Arabidopsis thaliana: one gene and its partner. The protein of the gene in region 1 interacts with the protein of each later gene in a pairwise test. Each region holds a gene or a part of one and is shown in the gene's direction. Other genes may lie near its edges. The genes, in order: BOP2 and DFL2.

Region 1 (3,926 bases):
TTTGATTTTTGTATGTTAGAAGAATAATAGCTTTGTTTGATGATTTACTACTCTTTGATTTTTTTTCCATTAACATATATCTTGATAATCAGTTAATCACTATATCGTATACTATTGAAGTTTAATAATTTACAAAAAAATGCATTTTTATGATAAAATTTATATAACCATGTTTATAATTTTAATTTAAAAACAATAATTTTCTAATAACTTGTTTTGAGCTACTGACAAAAAAATATCACCATATTTATGATAAAATTTAGAGCTTGATTTTTAGTTTCTACATTTAACTCATCAAATAATTATATCAAGAATAAAAAACATGGATCACACATTTAATTAAAAATTATTGGATAAATTAGTATTTAAATTATAGACATATATAGATAAACCGCTTAAAAAATGTTTTAACCCATAGTATTTCTTAGCTCCTTGCCCTTTTCTTTGTTATTCTATTATGTTGCCATCTAGTGCAGTTATCCTTATTTATGAAACGTATCTTACATAATATACAAAATGTTTAACATTTTATGTATAGTATTATAATACATGATAAGTCCTTTAACAAAAACAAAAAAACATGATAAGTCATCATAAAACTTATATAAATTTACTCGACTATAAATGAATAATTCAATCCACAACAAATGCAAATACCTTTAACAAAAAAAAAAAAATTTAAAATATCATCAATTAACAACATGCAAATCAGTAAGAAATATTGAATTCATGATATGTAGTAAGAGAATTTTCAATGAATATACTCCATGTTGTTTACAAAATTTAGGGATTATATCTGTACATAAATAAGTAAAATTTCGATAATTTTAGGCTAATCTTACTAGGATTAGTTTTATTACAGTTGATTACTAAGTATTTACTAAAGTAAGAAAATCCAGTTCTTACGTAAAATCAAGAGACCAAAATTTTCCTTCCCGGATCTTCTGGTTAGAAAAAAAAAAAAAAAAATAGAAGGTAAAGTAAATTTAAATAAGAAAAAAGAAAAAGTAAAGAGGGGCAAAGGAAGATGGTGAGGATTGGTCCAACGGTCAAACAGAAAACCATCAAATCAGATTTCACTACAGTTACGAAATTTATTTCACTCCTTCTGTCTTTTAACTTAATTAGGCCTATGTTCTTATCCACCATCTTCCTCTCTTTTTTTACCATTTTATCCCATCCTCCATTTATATGTGTAACGTATCCATTGTGTTGCTCAGGCTTTCACATGGTTCTGTATCAAGCCAAAAAGACAATTGCCGAGGATCTTGGATTTATTATCTTATCACCCTACTACTCAATTCATATCCCTCGTTTGTTTGGAAATCAGATTTAAGTAGGATTTTCATTAGTCAGGTGCTAATGATATTTCATTGTTTATTAACACTTTTATTAAAATTCTCTCGTTTCAATTATTTCCATTTTCCATTAATAGATTTGGCCCACCTTTGTATTCTTTTCTTCTTAATAATTGTTTTCCTATTTTAGTAACCAAATCACTAAATTTCAATTCATTAATAATACTTTAACCCTTTTTATAATCAGCATCAAGACAAAACACTGAAACAGTTATAATTTTTTTTTAACCATCTTAGTTTAAATATCTGAGCCGCCCGGTTCATCCATTCAAATCTCTCTCTCACTTACCAAACCCAAACAAATATCTAACACCACAAACTCAAAGCAATAAAGAATCCTTCTCTCTCTCTCTTTCTTTCTTTCTTCTTTCAGAGAGGAGGAGCAAGAAAGAAGCTTCAAAAGAACAAAGCTTAAGCTTTTTCCCCCGGAAAATTTGTTCCCCTTTTTCGAAAAACTAATAATTCGTAACTTCATAGCCAACAAGATCAATAAAAGGAGGCAACTTATTTCTTTCATTCTCTCTTGTAAAGAGTACTTGCTAAACCCTAGCTTTTGTTCTATAGAGAATCCAAGAACCAATCAATTTTTTATTTTATAAAAAGATGAGCAATCTTGAAGAATCTTTGAGATCTCTATCGTTGGATTTCCTGAACCTACTAATCAACGGTCAAGCTTTCTCCGACGTGACTTTCAGCGTTGAAGGTCGTTTAGTCCACGCTCACCGTTGTATCCTCGCCGCACGGAGTCTTTTCTTCCGCAAATTCTTTTGTGGGACAGACTCACCACAACCTGTCACAGGTATAGACCCGACCCAACATGGGTCCGTACCCGCTAGCCCAACAAGAGGCTCCACGGCCCCAGCTGGAATTATACCAGTGAACTCAGTCGGTTATGAGGTTTTTCTGTTGCTACTTCAGTTTCTTTATAGCGGACAAGTCTCCATCGTGCCGCAGAAACACGAGCCTAGACCTAATTGTGGCGAGAGAGGATGTTGGCACACTCATTGCTCAGCCGCCGTTGATCTTGCTCTTGATACTCTCGCCGCCTCTCGTTACTTCGGCGTCGAGCAGCTCGCATTGCTCACCCAGGTTCTCTCTTTCTCCCTCTGCTTTCACTCTTCTTACTCCATGCACATCACAAGAAAACAAAATTGAAAGTTTCCACTTTTTTGTTCTTGTTCTGCTTCTTTTAGAGTGTTTTCTTTCATGTGCTTGGCTTAATTTTGGTAAATTACGAAACGCTTTTGATTCGATTTTTATTTGTCTTTCTTTGGGTTTGGGTTAAATTTATTACAAATCGCGAAACCCTTTTGGTCTGATTATTTTCTTTCATGGGGTATTTCGCTTAAGATTTTTAATTTTTAATAACAATTTTTTATTTGTTAAATTATATATGTTCTTGTCTTGATTTCATGTATAAATGAGTTTAAGTTTCTTGCTTTGGAACAATTTTCATCGGATAAAGTTTCCGAAAGCAGACGAACGGTGGTTTTATTGCACGGAAGAGAATTTTCCTAAAAGTAGAAATCTATGTTATGTAGTTGGATCTATTCATTTCTTGGTCTTAATTTCTTATCCAATCCCACAATTTTCCTCATTTGGGGTTTCGATTCTAATCTATAGATAAGGAATAAAACCTACTCCACCATACAAAAATCCATCTGAGATGACAAGAAAGTTAATTAATAGCAAAAAAATCCATAACCTAAAAATGGAAATTAAACCCCACTTGCTGAAAAAGTCGGTTCTTTGGATTTATATCATACTTATCAAATAAATTGTTTTGTATGATTGGCAGAAACAATTGGCAAGCATGGTGGAGAAAGCCTCTATCGAAGATGTGATGAAAGTTTTAATAGCATCAAGAAAGCAAGACATGCATCAATTATGGACCACCTGCTCTCACTTAGTTGCTAAATCAGGTCTCCCACCAGAGATTCTTGCCAAGCATCTCCCTATTGACGTCGTCACCAAAATAGAAGAGCTTCGTCTTAAATCTTCTATAGCTCGCCGTTCTCTAATGCCTCACAACCACCACCATGATCTCAGCGTGGCTCAAGACCTAGAAGATCAAAAGATTAGAAGGATGAGACGAGCTTTGGATTCATCAGACGTGGAACTAGTGAAGCTGATGGTAATGGGAGAAGGACTCAATCTTGATGAGTCGTTAGCATTGCATTACGCTGTTGAAAGCTGTAGTAGAGAAGTTGTGAAGGCTTTGCTTGAGCTTGGAGCTGCCGATGTGAATTATCCGGCGGGTCCGGCAGGGAAAACACCTTTGCACATCGCGGCTGAGATGGTCTCTCCAGACATGGTGGCTGTTCTGTTAGACCACCATGCTGATCCTAATGTGAGGACAGTTGGTGGAATCACGCCTCTTGATATCCTTAGAACATTAACTTCGGATTTCTTGTTCAAGGGGGCAGTTCCTGGATTGACTCACATTGAACCGAATAAACTTAGGCTTTGCCTCGAGCTTGTTCAATCCGCTGCAATGGTGATATCTCGAGAAGAAGGAAACAATAGCAACAACCAAAACAATGATAACAATACCGGGATTTACCCTCA
Region 2 (3,926 bases), on another chromosome or scaffold:
GTCTACAAGGCGTCACACGCGTGAACTCACTTGTCCAGCTTCCGAGATTCTCTGAAGAGAAATCGAAGACTTGAGATTAGCTTTTAATGTTATTTCTGAGGACTGATCTTGAAGAATGTTGTCATTTTTCGTTGTTATGCTTGAGCATTGTGCGCAGCTTGATCTGTATTTGTTTTGCTGGTGTTTCGTGTTTGATGTATCTGTATTGCACAATGGATTTGCCTCATCGATTCTCTCTTGGAATCCATGAATCAAATGTGTATATACATTGCTTTTAGGTATCTCTCTAAACAAAAAAAAAGTATATATGTGCTTGTGTTCTTCATCCACCTCCTGTTAGAGTCTATAGAATCTAGAATCTACATGCTGATATCACCTAATCCTGTCAAGTATTTGCAGGCACAAATTAGCTTAGATGAACACTCTGAACAAACATTCAAACGCTCAAGACTAATTTTTGAAGAGAGATTCTTGGAAAAAAGGAACACTTGGCAAACCTCGCTTGAGTGAGAACTGGAGTTCGTTTCCTCTGATGCTTGCGCCTCAGCTTTTTCGTTCGAGTAACTTCCAGAATTCGAAATGAAAATCAGGCAACCGATATTAGCAACACAAAACTTCTCTTCATGATAGCCACAAAGCTAATATGTGCAACACTTTCAAATACATTGGATAAAAAAGATTGAAGTTGAAGAAGGCTCACGTTGATAATATAGTGACCCATATGAGTTCAATACAATCTACCCAAAGAAGCCTTTGGTCTACAGGGATTACACCGTATGTAACCAAGTGTGCCAATGGCCAGAGTTTCCAGCCTGCCTGCATAGACAAAATCATGACATAACCTTTAGATAAAATCAACAGACTAACTTTAAGCTTTATATATGATCACGAAGACACAGGGCAAGGAGAGTTAATTACAGTGAGCATTGGCAAAAATGTTGTCTTGATTTCGCTGAAAATGTCAGCTGGAGATTGGAAACGCAAGAGCCCTAAAACTGTAAAGTAGATACTGTTCCAAATTGCAGACCATACGGTTTGATCAAATGCGACTTTTGCAGGGACTACCCACCATTCTTGAAAAGGAAAGAGAGCCTTGTACAAAGAAAAGATTTTAGCTTTCAGCCCGTTGTTAATACAACATATCTTGACAGAGCAAAGATTGATTTTTACCTCACAGAATTGGTAGTAATAGTGAGACAGTGAACCATGGAGTGTGAATCCAACAAGACCTGATCTAAGAACACGAGTTCGATCAAACTCAAACAGCGGTTTTCCTTCGTAACACTGCATAAAGTTACAGCCAAAATGGTCAGAGAGAACTCAAATTAAGAAGCTTTTTAGAGTATTTTTAGTTTCTTACTTGTGCAATCCAATCTCCTAAAGAATACACAATTCCACTAATCGCCATTTTCGCCAAAACAGGGTTTGTTTTGAGAATTTGTTCATACGCAAACCAATTATGTTCAGGTGCATACCTAAGTATCTCGTAGAGAGTCCAACCCTAAGAAGAACAACAACAATCGTGATATCAATTTCAGTATAATCCCATAAAGGAGCAAGCTTTGCAGAGATAGAAGAACCAATCAATCACAAGAGAGATAAAGAAAACCCTAAGCTTACTTGCCAATAGTCATGATCAATGGTTAAAAGCTTAGTAACCGCAACGGTACCGGCGGCGAGAACTATAGCTGCGTTGATACCTCGACTCATCAGCCGATCTGTATCTTCTACTTTATCTTCTGATAGTTCTTCCTCTGCCTTGAAATTGTCATTTTTAACATCGATTGCTTCTCTGTCTTCAATGATCGATTTAACGATCAAGTTTCTTCTCTCTGTAATCAATCGTTTCTGATTCTTAAAAGGGTTGATTCGGGGTAATGGGCCTGCGGTTTTAATCCGTGAAGAAACCTTCCCGGAGACGATGATGGTGGTGGGACAACAACAGAGAGCTGCCATGGACTTGCACTTCTCAAAGGAAGATACTTTTTCTCTTCTCGTTGGCTCTCTCACAGCCAAAGGAGAGGTTTTTAGACTTAGAGAACAAAAAAGAAGCAGCAGACTTTGGTGACCAAACGGTAGGAACTGAGCCGAACCGAGTTTCGGTTAAATTAAAACCAATAACCGGTGGGTTTTAATTTGGTTAAAAACCGGTTTGCACAATCTCAAAACCGAAGCCGAAAACAAAGGTCCTACCGAGATTTGAACTCGGGTTACTGGATTCAGAGTCCAATGTCCTGACCACTAGACCATAGGACCAGTTGCTTCGAGTCCTACCGTTTTGGTTTAAGATCTAGACATGTTCAAGGACTACACCATCGTGGTCTCCGCCGATACGGCAGTCTGATCAAAACGATTCAAGAGAATCAGGCGGAAGGTTTTTTCTGAAATTCATAAAATCGGGTGATCTTTGCAATATGCATACGTATATCCTTGGTAAATGTATTGGCTTTGTTTGGTTAACGATGTTGATAGGATTAGGTTGTGATCAAATTAGAAAAAAATTGGGTCTTTTCTGATTTTTTTTGGCCAATTCTCTGATTATGAGTTTTGGAATGGTTGGAATGGTAGAGGAGGGTTTAGGCGTAAGGTAAGAGAAAATGGGATTGAACCCAATTTGCATACTTCAAATTCTCTGGTGAGCTTGATGTTTCATTGATTTGACAAAGCATGTATTTGAGATTGTGGGCAGTTGCAGGATCAGACTACATGTTACTTACAACAGGCATGATCAAGGAGTATTGTAAGGTAGGGTAGAGAAATGATATGACAATGATGCAGGTTTTGAGTATTGCCTAGCTTTGTATCAAGATTTGGATGAGAAGTGACTTTCAGGCTTGTAGTTTAGTGATTGGAGATTCTGCAAGAAGGGAAAATTACATGAAGGTTATGTGGTTTTTCTGCAATATGATTCGTTAAGGAGGCCAAGCCAAATGTAGTCAAATACACCACGTTAATGATTCATCCGTATGGGGACAGCTTAGATTTTTCTGTGTGTTGCATCCAAAGATGTACTGTGTACCCAAATTCCGAGTTCACCAACCAGGGATGAATGATACTGTGTACCTAAATTCCAAAGATGTACTGTGTACCCTAACAGTTTTCGTCTGGTTAGGAGATAATCACTTCTTGAAAGCAGTTTGAATGTTTCTCAAAGAATGGTCATGTACTACCCACGTTTTTTGTTTGGTTATCTTGGAGGTAAGATGAGCTGGTGACAATTCTGTTTTTGGCTTATACTAAGATTAACGTGGAGCTAGTCCTTTGCTTTACGGAGCTTTGATAAGATGTTTTAGGATTTAATTACCCATCAAGAAGATAATGAGGGAGAAAAAGGCTAAAGAGATTCATTCGACTTGCAAAACCATGGTTGGAATTTTGTGCACATAGTGATTGAGGAGAGAGATAGAAAGTGAAGGGACTTTAAATGTTAGACCCGTTGAAACTAGTGGTGGGCCTGTGAAGGTTGAGGTTGAGGGAAGAGCCAGCCTGCCCAAAAGAAAAAATATCTTGTGCAACTTGTGATGCTTGGTAGCTTTGGTCCTACATGCTTATCCAGATATTTGCAGAGAAAGAAACATCAAAAGGTTAGCCACATTATAGGAAGAACTAAAATTTTCTAATGCTATTTTGCTCAAATAGGTGTTTGAGAGCTCTGTTCATTTAATAATGTCCATATTTGTGGCTATGTTCACTGAATTATTAACAGGGAAAGCAGTTGAAAGATAGCTAACATGATGTAGGGGTTTTGGTTTTTAGGAGGCAAAGAGGCTTTCATGGGACCACACTGGATGATAGTTGCAAAATACATTGTGGTTAAGGTTTGTCTCTTGAGCACATGTTGAGACTGGGATACTCTTCTGTGAGAACGCATTAATAGCTGTATTAAGTGTTGATAGAATTTGTGGACGGTAATTCCCGTGACATTT

The links.
Region 2: the proteins of BOP2 (region 1) and DFL2 interact in a two-hybrid assay, tested with the Arabidopsis thaliana proteins (one large-scale study listed by BioGRID).

What each region holds. Positions count from the first base shown.
Region 1 is NC_003071.7:17,238,239-17,242,164, reverse strand, and holds the start of BOP2 (Ankyrin repeat family protein / BTB/POZ domain-containing protein), read left to right. Parts: upstream 1-1,555; 5' UTR 1,556-1,961; coding exon 1,962-2,447; intron 2,448-3,156; coding exon 3,157-3,926. UniProt on the Arabidopsis thaliana protein: May act as a substrate-specific adapter of an E3 ubiquitin-protein ligase complex (CUL3-RBX1-BTB) which mediates the ubiquitination and subsequent proteasomal degradation of target proteins. Acts redundantly with BOP2.
Region 2 is NC_003075.7:1,499,937-1,503,862, reverse strand, and holds the start of DFL2 (Auxin-responsive GH3 family protein), read left to right. Parts: upstream 1-2,263; 5' UTR 2,264-3,198; intron 3,199-3,293; 5' UTR 3,294-3,584; intron 3,585-3,756; 5' UTR 3,757-3,926. Other genes in the region: PP2C52 (Protein phosphatase 2C family protein), read left to right, coding at 1-74; AT4G03410 (Peroxisomal membrane 22 kDa (Mpv17/PMP22) family protein), read right to left, coding at 360-564, 701-816, 919-1,092, 1,171-1,284, 1,361-1,501, 1,621-1,956. UniProt on the Arabidopsis thaliana protein: Catalyzes the synthesis of indole-3-acetic acid (IAA)-amino acid conjugates, providing a mechanism for the plant to cope with the presence of excess auxin. Involved in red light-specific hypocotyl elongation.